2 linked regions of the Cricetulus griseus genome follow. The protein of the gene in region 1 purifies or fractionates together with the protein of each later gene. This does not show direct contact. Links are inferred from orthologs where the notes say so. Each region holds a gene or a part of one and is shown on either strand. Other genes may lie near its edges. The genes, in order: Capza1 and Tnks1bp1.

Region 1 (9,173 bases):
GCAGCAGCTTTTATAGTTGGGCACAACAGTTTATGCCTGTAATCCCAGCATTCTGGAGGCCGAGACAGTACAGGGCCAACCTTGGTTACACATCCAATTCCAGGCTAACCTGAGCTACATACTAATATCTTACTTTAAAAGCAAAACAAACAGCCGGGTGTTGGTGGTCCATGCCTTTAAATCCCAGCACTTGGGAGGCAGAAGCAGGCGGATCTCTGTGAGTTCGAGGCCAGCCTGGTCTCCAGAGAGAGCGCCAGAATAGGCTCCAAAGCTACACAGAGAAACCCTGTTTCGAAAAACCAAAAAAAAAAAAAAAAAAAAAAAAAAAACCAAAACAACAAAAAAACCAAAACAACAACAACAACAACAACAACAAAACAAACAAACAAAAAACTTTAAAAAAATGCCTTAAGCCAGGCATGATGTGTGGTAATCCCTGCACCCCAAGAAGCTGAAAGAGGAGTGCCCAGAGAATGTGAAGACAAGACTTCAAGCCCAAACATCCAATGGAACAAACAAACAAACCCTTACAAAGGACACTGCCGTCTAAATTAAAAGCACACAGACCCACTTCTCAGAATTCTTAAGGTGTATACACATATTTTACTCATTAGGTTAAAGAGAAAAACATACTAATCATTTTTTCCAGTCCTAGAATTCTCTTCATTGTTGGGGGGTGGAGAGAATTAAAAAACCAACAAACCAATGCTGAATCACAAATAAAGAAAACAGGTAAGGCAGAGAGCTCAAAAAAGTAATTCATGGCACACCTCAAACTTCCTAATTAGGACCTGGTGGTCTTGGTAAACTTTTAAAACTAAGTTAACTGAAGAGCACAAGTACCTAAAATAGTCTCCAGAAACTCAACTCCACGCCAAGACTTGAAGCATTTATCTGCCTGTTACTACACTTCTCACTTCCTGCTTTCTTCAGACAGCACATTCTGACCATTTCAGGTAACAAGGCAGAAGTGAAAAAAACCAACTTCCTCTTTAACAGTGATAAAAGCTTTGGCAGCTGGTTATCAAAATCACTTTACTTGCTTTTAAAGAAATGCTCGAAAGAAAAATCAGAGACCCCAAGCAACAAACTTTTGGAAGGGTTTACTGCTTTCTGAAAACATAACAAAGATAAAGAATATTAAATTATTCCTTTTGGCACCATAACAGGCATACTTAAAACAAAAGAGAACAACAAAAACAAAACATACCTATCCCAAATAAAATGCACTTTGAAGTCTTCAACATGAAAGAAGAAAATGGAAATTCTAGATTTCCTTAAAGAAGGAATTGGTCCTAGGGGCTTTGCAGATCCTGGGCAAGTGCTCTACCACTGACTATATAGTCAACCCATTTCCCATTCCTTTTTTTCTTTTTCACTTCATTTTTGAGACGTCTCATCAAGTTTTCAAAGCTGTAGTTCAACTTGCTTTGTAGCCTGAACAGACCTTAAATTTTTCTATCTTCTTGCCTCATCTTCTAAAACAGCTGGGGTTACAGGTGTGGGCTACCAGGCCAGGAAAGATAAAGAATATTTTTTATCTTGGTTTTAAAATTAGTCTGTACCGCTGGGCATGGTGGTTCATGACTCTAAGCCTAACACTGAGAATCCCAAGCAGAGGATCACCATAAGTTTAAAATCTGGGCTATAAGTGAGTTCTAGATTAGCTTAGGATACAGAATTCAGACTTTCTCAAAACAAACAAACAAAAAATCCCCAACAACCCTAAGTAAACAAATCAGGAAATATCTTGGAAAAATCTTTTCTCAGAATAGCGTTTTTTTTTTTGTTGTTGTTGTTTGTTTTGGTTTTTTTTCTGAGAAAGGGTCCCATTCATGTAGCTGAGGCTGGTCTTAAATTCCCTGTTACCAAGGATAAACTTAAATTCATAATCCTCTTTCTGTTTACCTCCCAAGAGCTGGGAATATTACAGACAGGCACTATCAGGCCCAGCCTTCCTACCTTTCTCAAGTTTTGAATTCAGATAAAATAAATCTGAAGGTTAAAAGGAAAAGCAGGCAAAGGTAAGAAGCCCCCAAATCAGGAAGTCTTTCAAAGCCCTTTCTTTTTACTCATAGATTTAGAGAGATATGAATGTGCCTGTGAACTCTGAGGAAAGGAATCTAACAAAACTACAGTAATCTCAAATCTTAAGGGTCTCTCTATGTAGTCCTAGAATTCACATTTAGACGAAGCTGGCCTTGAACTCACAGAGATCCACCACCCTCTGCCTCCTGAGCCTTGAGATTAAAGGTGTGCACCACCATGCCTGGCTCAAATCTCCAACGATTTTTACTGTATCAGTACATTTCGTTATGTACACCAATAAAGACAATGTAGTAAAAAAAAAAAAAAAAAAAAAAAAAGACCCCCAAAATCTCTATTAAACCCAGCATCATGGGGTTTGACTACAATCCCAGCACATAGAAGGCAGAAGCAAGAGACAAATTGGAGCCCAGTCCAGTCTACACAGCAAGTTTCAGACAAGCTAGGGCTACATAGCAAGACTCTGTCCCCAAAACACAAAAAATAAGATCTTTACTAAAACAGGAATAAAATTCATGGTTACTTCTGGGGCAGATTTACTAATTATTGGCTTGTTCTATCATCATTAAAAGTAAGCAACAAATCTAAGTGTGATGGCATATAACAGTAATACTTGAGAGGTTGAGATAAGAGGATTAGGGATGGGGGGGGTCATCCTTGCTATATAGTGAGTTGGAGGCTTACACGAGACACAGTCTCAAGAAACAGAATAAAATTTCACTCTAACGATGTTATGTGAACCAAAAGTACTTGCCTTAGAATAAACATTTTGCTATAGTTTTCTTTCTAATGTTAATTCAGCTGTCTTTTTGTTTCCTAGGTATTTACATTTATGATGCTCAATCTCCACCTAAGAGAAAACAACCCTCATGTGTTATTTGTTGGCTTTTTATTTTGATGCTGATGCTGAAGTTCAAACACAGGACACTGCATGTATAAAGTGCTCTACCAAGAAACTGCCGTCCCAGTACGTGTTAAGTGGTTTGTAAAGGCATTAAGCAAATTTTCAGCATTTAAAAATGGTGGCCCACACATACACAGGTATAAGTTAAGTTATTCTTTATGGAGAAGTGATCAAAAATAGTCTGTTCCTCCCAACAATCTCCAATATTTTCACTACTATAAGAACCTGGGCAGATTTTTATAGAACACTGGAGAGTACACACTTTGTAACAGTCTCTGCAGGAAGCAAAAGACATGTTCTTGTCCCATAAGGAGTTATCTAGTGAGACCATTCTACTTCTACCAACCCTAAAATGCTGTGTTTACTGTAGAGCCAGCCACTTCTTTCTTTTTTGGACAAACTGCTTAGTAAACGTTTGCTGTTTTGAGAAAAAGTCATTCCATTTAATTTATAATGCACCCTTGTATTTAAACCGCCTTTAAAGATCTAACTACACAATGCACACTGTCAAACCCAACTATCAAACACCACAGCAGGTCATCAAAAAGGGCTGGGTGTGTCATTTAAACTAAATGTGTTAATGTGAGGTTTATTTACTACCAAACTTTTCTGGAGTTGAAAAAAAAAAAGTCTACTGGCTACTATTCCTCGCTGAACAGGAAGCCAAAATTACTTTGAAAAAATTATAGTTAAGAAGATTAAGACAGACAGAAGGGATGGAGTCACCTTGGGGCCATACACGGACACAAGACAGCAGCAGCAGGAACAAAAGTCAAACTCTTAAGCAAATGCCCTGAGGTTTACAGATTTATTTTTTATCAAATTAGTTCAATCGTCACTAGCTGAGAAAAGACCAGGGTGTGTAGTTAGGTGGATAGATAATACCAGACAGAGGACCTCTCCCTGTCAAGGAGTCATGACAGCAAAATCACTTCCTGAGGAAGGAGGAGCAAAAGGGAAGTTAAGGAGGCAACTCTGATCAGGAAGTGACTCGTCCCAAACTAACCCCAATCATACCTATAAATGGGGAGGGGGGAGCCCCAACAGCCAAAGGCGGTAAAATAGCTGCTGCCTGACACGTCCCAACATCACCTTCATCCCCTCTCTTATAATTATATAAAAGAAAGTACAGTTAAAAGTCAATCAGGTAAAGTGTCTCCTCTTTTAAAGGAAAGCTGTGCTCGATCAAGAATGGAAAGAGTTGAGGCATGGGGAACTGGGGCCACCGTGAGGCAAAGGAAAGCCCCTTTAAGGAAGGAAGCGTCCCGGGTGCACAGGGAGTATGCCAGCACCGGGAAACGGGCTTTTTTTTTCCCGGGGACACCGCCAGGCTTCCCACTGCTGCCGGCTCGGACCCCTAGGCCCCGTCGGGGGAGGAGGTAAAGGAGAGAGGCGGACCCCTTACCTTCTCCTCATCCGACACCCGATCCTCGAAGTCGGCCATCTTGGCTGCTCTGGCCCAGCCCGGCGACCGGCGCGAGGCAGGCCGGGAAGGAAGCTGAGTGGTGGAATCACCAAGGGGGCCGTCGGAAGGACCCGCCCGGAAGCTCCGGCCAAAAGGGCGCCATGTCAGTTCCGCGCGGGTGTGACAGCCTGGAGTGGCAACGCTCTAGGAAAGTAGGCTTTGCCATCGAGGCCTCGGAGTCTTAACATCTTTCTCACTGAATTTCAGTCACTTTCCCATCCATCCTGGAAGCTCGGTGGCGACTCTCGACTGTCCGTGGCGCCAGGGCTACCTCTGGTCACGCAGCAGTTCCTACACCTATGAGTTTTCCTGGTCCCGCAGGTCTCCGAGGCAGCCGAGTCCAGTGCGCTAAGAGCTGCCCGGCTCTAGGCAACACCAGTACTTTTCCAGTCCCGGAACGGGGCGAAAGATGACCCCCAACCTCATAGGGAACCACAACCACTTCCCTCCAGCGCCACACTGAGTCCGTTTCCTGCAGAATAAGTGCCACCTTCGAATCCTTCCCCGCCCTCCTAGAGGACCAGGTGGCGCCTCGGTCTGAGGTCGCGCTCCGTCGCCTTCCCGATCTCTGTCCAGGTCCCCAGGACTCAGCCTTGACAGAGGCCAGCTTCAAGTCCGCCACTATCCCAGGATTCCCAACTCCGGGTTTCCTGCCCTTCTCCCCTCCCAGGTCCCGGCGCCTGCCGGAGCCGCAAGATGGCGGACGGGGAATACTTCGCGGAAGCCGCGCGGGCTGTGGGGTGTCCCCATGCACCTGTTCCCGGCTTGGGCCTGGGCCCGCCGCTGGGCTGGAAAGAGCGGCTGAAGGCCGGGCTGGCGAACTCTGGGTCCACGCTGTGGTTCCTGGCGGGGCTGGGGCTGCTTTACGCTCTGAGGGTCCCGCTGAGGCTGTGTGACAACGTGACAGCGGGTGAGAGGCCCAAACCTCCTGGACGGTCGGGGACAAGCGCCAAAGTGCAGAGATTCTCGGGGAGTCGTGGAGGGCTTTGGAGAAGGCATTGGTGTTGCATGCTCCAGTGGGTTATTTTTCCCCCCCCTTGGGCCACAACAACCGGGCAGCTGATTGTCAAACCTGTGCTGCAGTTTGCCGGCCCCTCCCTAGAGCTCTGAAGGTTCGCTCTCTCTGTTCTGCCTACATTACCGCAGGAAAAACTATCTGACAAGCTGCAAGCTTCAGGTAGTAAGACAGAAAAGAGCATTTCTGTCTTACAGAAAAGAGCAGTTACCAACACACAATTTATATACATACATTCTTCTTATTTGCAGCCCCCCTTTAAAATAGTGCCTTTGAGTCTCCAGCCGCCTAGCTTAAAGAACCCGCACCCAGAAAATCAGCATTATCTGTAATACTATGATTTCAGAGGACCATGCTTCCTTCTAGTGTAAGATAGTTCTGTTAAGAAACGTTTTTCGTGGTATTTTTATCTTTCAGACTTTATCATGAGTAATAAAAAGAGTACAGGAAAGGGAGAGGAAGAGAAGCACAAGCAACATTGGGTTTGTTTAGTATGCTCTTTCAGCATTTGTGCAATGTTTGTTATGTAGCCCAGGCTAAAGATAAAGACTTGTAAGCAAGTCTTTTATATTCTGCAAGTACTATTCCTTAGCCATAGTGGGATAAAATGACGGGGTCCTGAACCTTTTACAATGTTATTGAAGTATTTCTGCAGCCTCAAAAGACGAAGTATTTCTGTTATGTGGTGACTCTATTAATTTTTCTATCCTGTGAGAAGGCAGTGGTCTCTCTTTTCTATCCCATGAGATAACATGAAAGATTGCGGGATAATGTTCTGAAATGCTTTGAGTATTTTAGAGGATAGGTAACATACCTATCTTATTTGTCTGTAACAGGCGGATGAAGTGCTTAATGGTGGTTTCTATGCTCATTAAAATGCTATTCATTGGGTTTGTTGTTTATTTTCCACTTATTATTGTTGCTGGTTTGAGGCAGGACATAGCCAAGACTGGCCTTGAACTCCTGATTTTTTTTTTTTTTTCCCCTCAAGACAGGGTTTCTTCTCCGTGTAACAGTCCTGGCTGTATTGGAACTCACTTTGTAAACCAGACTGGCCTCGAACTCACTGAATCTGCCTGCCTCTGTCTCCCAAGTACTGGTATTAAAGGTGTGCCACCACCGCCTGGCCTGAGCCCCTGATCTTTTGAGTATCACTTTTCAAGTGGTGGGATTAGAAGACTGTGCTATCTAGCCTGTCTTTAAAAAAAATTATCTTACACATTATCTCTCTGTATAGTCCAGAATATCCTCAGGCTAGAGTCCTTCCTGCCTCTCAGCCTCCAGAATGCTAGAATTGCAGGCTTGAACTCCCCAACCTGCTACTTTGGTTTCATTTTCTAAGTTTTTAATTGCATGTACCATTTAGATGAGAGTTAATTATTACAGACATTTTATTTTTAACTCAAAATTGGGGCTAGAGATGTAGCTCACTTGGTAGAGTGCTTTCCTAGCATACAGGAAGCTTGGGTTCAATTCTCAGCACCCATAAACCAGGAATGCTGATGCACGCTTGTGATCCCAGCACTTGGGGGTTAGATACAGGATTATCAGTCGTTCAAGGTCATGCTCAGCTCCATCCTCAGTGAGTTTGAGACCATCCTGGACTCTATTAAACCACTTTTTAAAAGTATGTTTAACTTATTACTATATATTTACTAAAGTTCTAGTGTAGATTATGTCTTGTGTTTTAGATTTTTAGAAAAGCAGGTTAAATTATCTCATTTTGACTTTTGATTTTCTTTTTTGTTGTTGTTCTGTTGTTTTTCAAGACAGGTTTCTTGTGTGGCCCTGGCTGTCCTGGAACTCTGTAATGTCCATGGTCACTCTGTAGACCATGCTGGCATTGAGTTTACAGAGATCTGGGATTAAAGGAGTGTACCACCACCACCACCACCACTGCACAGCTTTTTTTCTTTTTTTGACCCTGGAGATTGATTTTAGGGCCATTTACATGCCAAGCCTCATTATGATTTACTTCTTATTTAACTAAACAACAGTATGAAATCCCACTTTTATATACATGAGAAAATTCTTAAGATATGAAACAATGGGGTTATAAAGCTACTTATTTTAAAAATGCATAACATTTGTTTTTATAACTTTTTTAAATGAATTTCACTTTAGATAATAATATAGACAGGCCGGGCGGTGGTGGCGCACACCTTTAATCCCAGTACTCAGGAGGCAGAGGCAGGTGGATCTCTGGGAGTTCGAGTCTACAAGAGCTAGTTCCAGGTCAGCCTCCAAAGCCACAGAGAAACCCTATCTCGAAAAACCAAAATAATAATAATAATAATAATAACAATATAGACAGTTATTGACCTAGGGTGGTCAGCTTAGAAATTTTGAGTTTTGCAATAATGGAAAAGCTGTCTGCATTCAGGAGAAATTTGAATTTTGATCTTTTCCTGAAATAGCAACATGATCTCTATGATGCTAGGCAGCAGTAAGCTACTGGTTCCCACTCATCATTCATACTCTGTGGAAAGTAAACAGCCAATGCTATCCAAGGCATTATGTTGCTAAGCTATGGCATTTGGAAGATTAGAGATATTACCTACACTTTTTTTAAAAGATTTTTTAAATTTATTATGTATGCAACATTTTGCTTCCATGTATATTTGCACACCAGAAGAGGACACCAGATCTCATAACGGATGGTTGTGAGCCACCATGTGGTTGCTGGGAATTGAACTCAGGACCTCTAGAATAGCACCCGGTGCTCTTAACCTTTGAGCCATCTCTCCAGCCCTACCTACACTTTTTACTTACAGTATTTTCAATTTATAGGCTTGTTTGGACATAACCTCACCAAGTCAGGCATCTGTGTTGCTTGCCTCCCTCCATCTAAAGATATTTATATAACTGTAATGTACTTTAAATTGTACCTTGTAAAAACTCTGCTTGTAAAAACACTGTTTTCTCTTTTAACAGTGACAGGGTTTTTAAGTTCGTTGACACCCAAGTTCTATGTGGCACTTACAGGGACATCTTCTTTGATATCTGGACTAATATTTGTAAGTAGTTTCCATTTTGTTCATTTCTATTTTGATACTTATTTAAAGATTGTTTATGTTTTTAAAAATTTATAAGTGTTTGTCAAGGTCTCCAAAATGTGTTTGATATTTAGAAAACCTTACCTAGAGAAACAAGTTTGAGAAATACCACATTTCCCTCTCTTCTTTGATGAGTGTGTTAGTATTGATTATATGTTAAGTTTCTTTTTGAGACAGGGTCTCATTATGTAGCCTAAGCTGGCCTTGAACCCAAGGCAGTTCTCCTGCCCCTACCTCCTGAGTGCTGGTATTGCAGGGGTGAGTTTCCATGCCCAACTTCACTCATTGTGTTAATTTGTATGCAGGGATAGCAGATAACTCAGCAGGTAAAGGTGCTGGCTGCCAAGTCTGACTGACGGCCTGGGTTGCCGTCTAATCGCCACTCGTGTACTTCCATGCTTATACACATACACACAAATATAATAATTAAAAAAACACCTATATACTAACTATAGTTAAGAGAAGGTTGGTCAAGATGGATTAGAAGTTTAATGATCAAAGTGTCTACATTATTATTTCAAAATGAATGGGGGACTGGGGAGATGGCTTAATCAGTAAAATGCTTGCCATGTAAACATGAAGATCTGGGTTCAGGTCCCCAGCACTCACATAAACAGTAGGGAATGCTTGCATACCTGTTATCCCAGGCCTGGGAGGTACAGACAAGAGGGCCCCTGGGGCTTGCTG
Region 2 (9,528 bases), on another chromosome or scaffold:
GGCCAAGTGAATTACTTAGCCTGAGTCCTGGAATCTCAAAAGGGGCTTAAAGGCCCTACTAGCTAGAGTGACCAAAAGAACTAACTTGGCTAATATTTCTAGGACATGCCCAGCACACAAGAGGGGCTTAGTCAGTGCTATGGGTGTCATAAGCACTGCTCCTAATCATCATGATCAACCATACTTAGCCACCGTGACGACCAGGAACACTGGCCTGGGTCTCAGTTTCCCCATCTAAACTCTGAGAGCACAAGAGGTGATCTTGACTCCCCAGCTCTGCTTTACTACAGCTGTGTTCACAACACGATGACAACTCACATGGGTAGGTGGCTCAGAGCTAGTCAGCTTAGCCAGGTCCCCGTTCATTGCCAGGCTAGAAGTCAGGCTCCTGGGAGGAAGAGAGACAGAGGGAGAGAGAAAGAATGTTGAGGTCTGACACAAAACAGAAAAGGGGGGGGGATTTGCCCAAGCAATTTTAACAGCACCCAAAGGTTAAACACCCCAGGGCTTACTCCTGAGGTTGGCCTGGAACCACTTGGGATAAGGAAGTTAGGGAGTGCCCAAATGCCCAGAACATAACTCCCACTCCCTTCCTGCACACACAGGTTTAAGTCCCCTCACCCTCCTTTTAGGAACAGTATCATGTGTGTCCAGATCAATGAGGGATCCCCAAGAAGACAATGTCTCCCTCTCCTAGTCCCTAAGGGGTTAAAATCCTTCTCTGGCCAGAATGTAGCTAGTCCTGGCAGCCCTACTGATATTTCTTGAACGATAGCAGGAGGGAGGGGATGGTGGTGATTTTCCAATACTGAACCCTTCATGGATGGAGGGATGAATCCAGTCTGGGAAGCAGCATGGCCTCCAAGTAGCACCGGTCCTGGATATGAAAAGGTTAATCTCCCAGCCCAACCACCAGGTGTTTTCAGGTGAGAGAAGGGAAAGCTGGAGGGTAGGGCAGGGCAGGGCAGGGCAGGGCCTTCAGCTACTGGCTCAGCCCAGACCACAACAGGCCTAGCCTCTACAGTCAGGAGACAGAAGGCAACCACTGGGCCTAGCTGTGTATGCTTCAGGCCGGTGCTCATTTGCCTGAAGCCTTGGGTGACCAAATTCCTCACCTCCCTCCCATGCCTTGTGTCCACTAACCCAAGAAGCACCTCCCAGCCAGCCTTCCTTTACATGCAGGTGGGCTATGGATAAGAAATACATGATGGGAAAATGTCTCCAAATAGAAGAAATCTCTATGCAGAAATTAGCTGAAGCTGCATTAAGACCTGTTACTGTCTCATTTCTCCCATCCCACTCCTCAAAGGCTAAAACTGTGCCCTACAGATCATGAGAGCCAGCAGTTAAGATCACAGGTTTTCAGAATCACACAAAGCTGAATTCAAACTGAGAGACTGTAGGAAGTCACTTTGGAGCCTTGGTTTTCCAGTCTCTAAAATGGACGTAACAGTCCCTTCTTCCAAAGAACATGGGTATGTATTCAGTGACTACAAACTGGTCTACTGAACCCGATGACTCTTTGGCACAATGTGCATCAGCTCTTTATAAAGAGAATTATGGTGGGCTGGGGATGTAGCTCAGTGATAAAGCACTTGTTGACACTCAAAGAGAGAGCATAACACCATCATTTGCTACAGAGATGCTCTGGGACACAGACTGGGTTGATCTGTGTTCATATAATTAATCTAACAGTGAAGGCAAACCCCTAAACTGGAGCCCACTTGCTCCCTAGCCCCTTCAAAATTTCTTACCTCTCCTTAGCCCTTACCTCTCCACGGGAGTCTTGCTATGTTCTTCCTGGCATTCTGCTGGAGACTCTGCTGTCCCTTCCTGGGATGGGGCCTTGGCAGGGGTCTTATCATCCTCTCTGAGTCCAAGGGTACCATAGGTCCTGGGGCCATATCGAGAGCTTCCATCATGATTAAAAGTGAGGCGGGAGCCCCAGAGGCGGTCAGGGCTAGCAGGGATCTCCTTCCGAGGCTGATCCATCTTAGCCAAGATCTCTTCTACTGTACTGGCTGCAAACCGCTCAGAGGAGGGACGGAAGGGGGCAGGGGCCTTTCGCACACCTCCCAGGGCAGTACACCGAGCTGGGGGTGTTAAAGGAGGTAAGTCTTCTTTCCCAGCGTCCTCTTTCCCAGACTCTTGGGTAACTTCTCCAGCAGGTGCGTCAGCTGTAGGCCTTGGTGCAAATGGGAAGGGACGCTTGCTGACACCATAGGGCTGGGGTCCTGCCAGCATGTTCATCTTCCTGGCAGAAGGCAGCTCAGCCAGGGGACCCCGAGGAGGCCGAGGCCCAACAGGAACCAGGAGGCTAGGCTTGGCAGGCAGAGCTGGCTTGCTGGATAAGGCCCGGGGCTTGGGCTTAACAGGGGGCTTGGCCCGAGGGTCACCTATCAAAAGGAAGGATTCATTGGAACTGTCAGAAGAATCATGAAACAAACTTTGGTGACTCCTGTTGCACCAAATCTCCAACCCTCCAACCTCACAGGGTGTCCTTCTAGGTTCTAGCACGCACTGCTTGTTCCATGATTTTTTACATCCCAGATGTAGCCTACCTTTTCCAAACTTACACAATGTTTACAAGTTCCCCTTCTTAAAAGCTATTTATGGGGGCTATAACACCTTCTTTCTCTAGCATCCTATTTTGTACCTAGCACAGGTTCCCATCAAATAAATGAGCAAATGAGTACATTCATCGGCCTGACCCTAGGAGGCAGTCAGCCTGGGAACCCAATTTAGCCCTATTTCTTTATAGGGCCCTATGTACCGTATTTCCATAGTGAACTGTTGATCCTAGCTGAGCTCCCCGTGTCTCCCTGCACACTCCCAGGCCACCTCCTCAAGGTCATCTGGTTCATGATCAGGAATGCAAACTTATTATTGACCTATGTCAAACAGAAGTAAATCTACCACAGGAAGAAATGGGGGGGGCAGAAGTCTACCTTCTATATAAGGCATTCTAATGCCAAATAAAAGACCTTGGGAATTACTCATGGCCACAACCCTTCTATAATAGAATCCTGTATCACCCACTCATTCAGCTAACCATTAAAAAAAGTCTAGACAGGGAGAAAGAAATGTAGTCCACCTCTCCTGTGCCTCAGTGTCAGCTTCTCAAAGAATTACTGGACCCATCTCAAGGATTCTGCTTTCATACCGGCTGGAGATCTATCTCACTCTCACCAGGTCCCAAGGCCCTTCAGCACTCATCTCACACTGGCTGCCTCTCACCTCAACACAACTGTCACTCAACTACCTGGCAGGACAGAATAGGGGTGCAGCCTCTACCCTCTCCACCCTCCCAGTCACCAGCCCCACCCTGCACCCATCACCCATTGGTACCTGGCTCAGAGCCAACAGGCGCCAGCTCCTCCCCCATCTCCGGGGGCAGTGGGGAAGCCATGGCCGTGCTTTCCCCGACTTTCATCACATGTGGCAGACCCTGTTTGAGAAAGGAGAAGCAGTATAAGTTGGGGTGGTTGTCGACCCAGGAAAGGGGGAGGTGGAGAAGGAAAAGAGCTGGGCGAGTCAACAGGCTTAGCCAAGGAAGTCTATTTCTAACCCAGGCTGTGTGGGACAGGAAGAGAGAACTCCAGGAGGAGGTCGGGGAGGTCCCCACAGGCGGGGTGGGGAAGGACCCCACAGCCACATCCTTGCTACAACTCTCCAACTCTTGGCTCTGAACCTCAGAGATCTGGAGCATGAGAGCCACCTCACTCACAACATCCCCAAGCACCCTCCTGTGACACCCTACTTACAGTTCCCAAGACACCCTTCTTGGTCAGGCAGCCCCACTAGAGGTATCCACTCCAGGCGGGGTAAGAGGGCCGGAAAGTCTCAAGTCTCGGGAATCACCTCATGGGAGACGGGAAAAACCCGCTCCTCCCCGACCTGGGGCTCCGCCCCACTGCCGCCCCCCCCTTCCCAGTCTCCTCCCTCCCTCTATGGGCTGGGAGTGGCTCCCTACCCCCTTCTCCCCATTCTCCTTTCACATCCCTGCCCCCTCCTCCTTCTCTCAGAGCTGTCTCATCCAAACACGGGGAAATAAGAAATAAAAAGTAAACATCTGGAATACATTTTTTTCCTTTAATTTCTCAATCGTTTTGGCTTCAGCTTGGAATTTGATGAGGTAAAGCCAGGGCCTAGTCCTGTTACCATAGCAATGGCCTCCCACTGGATTTCCAGGGCCTAGCCAAAGGGAAGGAGGAGCCGGCCCAGGATGGGCAGGGAGAGGACAGACTGGACTTGATTGGGGGGCGGGGGGTGGGGGTGGGAGGCTTGACTTGGAGGAAAACTCCTCAGGGTCCAGCCTTCCAGGACAGTCAGGGAGGGACCTGCATAGACTGTGAAATAGGAATATGTGTGGATCACTAGCCTGGAAACGGCCAGAAGGAGTTTTGAGGGACCAGAAGAAATTAAACCAGATGACAGCCACATAGTAGTAGCCTGTCACATGAGCTTCTGAATCTGATATTAACAGATTTAACAGCTAAGTGGGTCTACCATTTTAAAGCTGTGTGACTTTTCCCTATCTGAAAAATGGGGTATTAAGACTTGAGTTTCAAGCCAAATAATGCATGCAAAATACCAAGCATGGAAGTGATAAGTAACAGTTGGCCACTATTAATGTGACTACATTCGGAGTCACTAATGAGCTAACTAACATCCTTGGTAACCACCTATAACTCTCCCCCTACCCTAGGCTGCATTCCTAGACCAGTCCTTCATGACCCCAAGTCATCAGTTCTTCAGGCACTCCACCTCCTCAGTTCCCACCCTGGGTGCTGATGCACCCTCCCACCCACAAGGCCCCCTCAGGCTCTGCTACCTGATGAATAGCAAGCACTGCCCCTGAGGTTCAAAAGCAAGGGAGAAGCTGCCTAACACACGGAATGCACACAACCCTGGAGGGGCAACCCAACCCTCACTGTGTTGCAACCTCAAAGTCCCTTTCCCACTCCAACTGGTCTGAGAAGATAGCTCTCAATGCTAAAAACGACCTGTGGTGCCCAGTCTTTGCAAAAGGCATCCCCATCCCCTTGACCCTGTCCCAGCTTATTTCGAAGAGGGTATGGAGAGAAACTGTGACAATGTCAATCTCTGATCAGCCAATTACCACGGGCTGTGCGTGGGAGAATAACGTGTGTGGGGGGGGAGGGGGTGACAGGAAAAAATAAAATTAAAAATACACAAGATTGCTTCCTTGTCCTTGAACATTATTACAAGGGATATGGTGTGGGTGGTTAGAAATGAAGAAAAACTAGTCTAGAAAAAAAAATCCTCTCACCTGTGGGCTTGATGGACACCTCTGAGGTTATAAGGGGCTGCAGAGATGAAGACAGAGGAGGTGGCTACAGTAGAGAGGCCCCAGCCAGGAGCCCCAGGAAACCAAGGCCATGGCCTCAAGCTGCAGAATCGCAGTGCCTCAAGAACTCCGCACCCTTAATGGTCTAGGGAAACCAGACAGCCTTGGGAGTAAAGGCTGCCCCCAAAGGATGGGAAGGCACTAGGCAGCCTCAGTCCTGGGCAGGCAGGCACCCTAAGGGCCGGCAGGGTCGTCCCTAAAGGTCTCCTGCTGAATGTGCGACTAGTGCGACCAGGAGGGTTAAGTGTTGGAAGAGGGAGGGCCAACAGGAAGGCGGAACAGCCCAGGGCAAGGGGCTGTTTGGAGGGCCTCCGTGGGGAGCTTACGGACATCGAGCGGCCAGGCGAAGAGGAGGAGCAGATGAGGGTGGAGGAGGAGGGGGCGGCAGCAGCGGGGACAGTGAGAGATGCCAAGCAGCCCGCGAAGGAACAGACCGAGGACTGGCGAGGAGGACTGTGAGGGCGGCCTGGGGTGGCTGGGGGCGTGCCATGAGAGTTGAGGAAGAGGGCCGGTGAAGGCAGGAGGGGGGGGTCCCTCGAGTAGCTCCGCCCGCCCCCGGCCCGGCCCCGCCCCACCCTCGCCTCTCCCCGCTTTCTTCTGGCTCCCGGCACGAGTGCTCTCCACCCCCGCACACACGCTCCAGCTCCGCAGCGCCCCCGCGTCCCCAGGCCCTCGCAAACTTTCCTAGTGACCCCCCCACCACCATCGCCGCCGCCCCAATCTGAGGTCGGGACTGCTAGGCGCCCGGTTCTTTCCATGCCCTTCCCCGCCCCCATCCCCGGACCCCGCCCCCTCCGGCCGTCGCCGCACACTCACGCGCTCCCCGGGACGGGCTCCGTTCGGCTAGGCACCCCGACGCCAGTGACCGCTGCTGCCGCTGCCGCCACCGTCACCGCGGGACCGAGCCAGTGCAAGCCCCGGGGCCCCTCCCATAGCCCCGCCCAGGGACACGCCTCCATGCCGTTCATGAATATTCATATAAGAATCCGTGAGAGGGAAGCCGAAGCTGAAACAGAGTCCGGCCCACGAGATGCAAACAAGCACAGCTCGCACATAATTATTCATGACCTTGTAAATGAGGAGCCGGTCCTGATTCAGACTTAGGCGAAACTGACGCAATTTTACCCCAGCGCCACCGAGATGACTGCCTAGAGAGGAAACCGCTCTGGACTGCTTTCCCTAAGCCTACACTGATTACAGCACCATAGAGCGCGGGCAGCACGAAGGGAACCGCTGGCGGACTGAACAGGCTTCCTGTTACACCTGAGTCTTCCTGGGAGCGCAAGCGACGTGGCCACCCGTCGTGTATAAATTCAGATTGAAAGCCACAGTAGAAAGTGGAGTAGCTTTTTCCCTCGTGTTATCTGTTTAAGAGCTCTCTTAGATACACTTCCCAAACATGAAATTTTGTAGCCCTCCCTTCACACACTTAACTTCACTCACACACTACTCATCCTCCTGACTCAGGTTTCCACTCCCTGCACTAGAAAGTCGATCCTCATTCTATTACCTCAAGCCTTATAAGACCCTTGTCTCCTAAAGTGATTAAGGATGGAGCTGAGAACCCCGCCCCCTCCGACTCCCACCCCTGTGCTGGCTAATGGAGTGGAACTCTGAGAGGCTTCCTAATCAGATCAGCACTCATTTCTTGACTCTCAGGTGGCATTGTTCACAGACAAGGGTGAAAACCAATGCTTGTCCAGCCAGGAAGGACAGGATGTGCTTCAAGACTTGCTTCCCAGCTGGGCAGGAGGGCCCTGCAGAGTCCGGATAGAAGGGTAAACACCACATGTAAAGTGGGAAAGGAGACATAAGGACATGGTTTCCAAAGTCAGTTCCATTTATTAAATTGACTTCACAGACCAGAAATACAAAATAAAAGTAGAAATAGGCCCCTATTAGGAGCTACAGGCCTGACTTCACATGACCCCTGATGCAGCCACTTGAATAAGACAGGAAGCAGCTTTATCCCTACAGTCGGGCAAGTGAGCCGAGGACTTAGATCCTTCAACGCACTGTGAGCAGACAGAATGCACTCCTACCCAGTCTTTCCCCAGATTACAAGGAGCCATTCTTGCAAAGCAGCTGAGGTTAGATGTTTCCCTTGATGCCTGCCTCAGAGAAGTGGAAGCCACCAGGAGCAGTTACTCAGATGGCACAGAGTCCAAGAACTATGTAGAAAGCCTGGAGATGTGACAGGGCAAGGACAAGAATTTTCTTCCTCTACTCATCAGATCCTGAGGCAGAGTCCTCTGAGCTTGGAGGAGTGCTGGCTAGTTCCTCTTCTTCAGAGTCCTGAAAAACCAGAGGTCTCTTAGGTAAAGGTATAATGTCCCAGACACTTTTTGGTGAAGGGTCCCTAATGCCCAGTTCCTCCTACAACTGCACTCACCATAACCTCAGAAATCCACCTGTCCACTCTAACTCATTACTCTTACAGACAAACCACAACCCTGTCTTACCCACCCCAGACTCAAATGCCCCTCAACCGCCCAGACTTCCTGCCCCACCTCGCTCCGCCTCCTCTTCTTTTTGCTCTTGTTCTCTCCTGAAGAGCTCTCATCACTGGACACAAATTCTTTGCTCTTGAAGCTCTCACTTAGCTGCCTTGATGAAGACTTGGATGATGAACTCCTAGAGGGAGTGGATTTTTTTTCCATCTTTGCTTTTACTTTCTTTTTCTTCTTAGACTTGTCCCTATATTAAGAAAATGGAAAAGACGCCAGGCCATTAGTCTTCCCATATTATCAGATAGGCCACATTTCTCCTGGCTTTAATGAGGACGTCTCCAGTAATGGCCATATTATTCTCACCCTGGCAAATATAATGTCAGCTCTGTAGCCCAAAGTACACCAAAGGAGAGGATCATACGTGAGTACCTGAAGAGCCAGGGTCACGGCCTGAAGCAACTTATGCAAAACTTACCTGGCACTTTTGTTTTGTTTAAAAGTTCATATGGATTTTGAATTAAGCTTCACAAAATACTTTTTTCTAAACCCTCCCATTATTTATTTGAATATAAAACTGATCGAGGAAAATGGGCCATATTTATCTCCTAACTCCATACAACACCTATACTCGGCAATGGCATAAGCACTATTTTACTGCTGTCAAAAATATGTACCACAATTCTCAATTCTAACCTGGAAAAAAAAATCTGCTAAAAAGAGCAGTTATTGGGACCATTTTGTTCCTAACACTCACCTTTTAGAAGATTCACCTCTTCCTCCTTCATATTCTTTCATGGCTTTTTCATATTCCCTCCTGGCATCCTCAGCCTTTCGGTCCCACTCCTGTCACAAACAGTCCTTTAGACTGATGCAAGCAAATCTGTATCTACAGATGGATGAGTGACACACCCTGCACCCCCACAAAGCCCTTCTCACCACCACTCCTTTCCACTGTTACTCACCTCTTTCTTCTCTTTGGACATTCCCTTCCAGATCTCGCCTGCCTTCTTAGAAAGATCTGTGATGCTGATGCCAGGATGGTCTGACTTGATCTTCTCTCGGCTGGCATTAAGCCACAACATGTATGCAGACATAGGCCTCTTAGGGGCATTTGGATCTTTACCCTTCTTCGCCTACATGAGAAAGAAACCAAATGCCATCAGCCATCCATATTTCTCAACTATCCTAAGTTTCCCCAAGGAAACCATCTGGGGAGGGGGAAAATGCAGGGAGAACTAGATGGAACTGGGTACCCAGGAACAGCTCTAAGGGCAGGACTAGCCGCTTTTTCCTTCTCCAAGAGATGCCCTGGGCAGAGGCAGGATGTCTCCTAATTCAGATGCAGAGACTCACATCTGTCATGGTACTAAGAACAAGTTACAAATGAGTGCTCAGTCCTAAATGGAATATCTCTATCACCAAGGCCCAGGGAATACAGCTAAAGAGGTGGGCAGGAAGAATGCAAGAGCCAGAGAAAAGGGAGGAGTACTATGAAACACTGCCATCCAGATACAGCATGGCTGCTGTGACTGTCAACAGCTATGGATACTTGCCCAAGGCCAATACAAGATTGGGTCCTGATATTCTATCATAGATAGGAGAGGCAACCACGAGGGCTCACCCTTCCTAAGGTGCTACATGCAGTTAACATGCAGTTGCTAGGAGAAGATGAGTCATTTTCTTCAGCGGGGCAGCCACTGGTAAGGT

The links.
Region 2: the proteins of Capza1 (region 1) and Tnks1bp1 purify together in Homo sapiens (affinity purification with mass spectrometry; 3 studies listed by BioGRID and IntAct, with this or other methods). This does not show direct contact. The link is inferred for Cricetulus griseus from reciprocal best matches to the Homo sapiens genes CAPZA1 and TNKS1BP1.

The regions. Positions count from the first base shown.
Region 1 is NW_023276806.1:52,110,130-52,119,302, reverse strand, and holds the start of Capza1 (F-actin-capping protein subunit alpha-1), read right to left. Parts: upstream 4,487-9,173; 5' UTR 4,395-4,486; coding exon 4,356-4,394; intron 1-4,355. Other genes in the region: St7l (suppressor of tumorigenicity 7 protein-like), read left to right, coding at 5,112-5,325, 8,365-8,447. UniProt on the Homo sapiens protein: F-actin-capping proteins bind in a Ca(2+)-independent manner to the fast growing ends of actin filaments (barbed end) thereby blocking the exchange of subunits at these ends.
Region 2 is NC_048599.1:90,483,074-90,492,601, forward strand, and holds the start of Tnks1bp1 (182 kDa tankyrase-1-binding protein), read right to left. Parts: upstream 6,320-9,528; 5' UTR 6,188-6,319; intron 5,678-6,187; exon of another isoform or gene 5,294-5,677; intron 3,918-5,293; exon of another isoform or gene 3,765-3,917; intron 3,449-3,764; 5' UTR 3,434-3,448; coding exon 3,349-3,433; intron 2,397-3,348; coding exon 1,772-2,396; intron 389-1,771; coding exon 319-388; intron 1-318. Other genes in the region: FACT complex subunit SSRP1, read right to left, coding at 7,595-7,666, 7,882-8,068, 8,576-8,664, 8,784-8,954.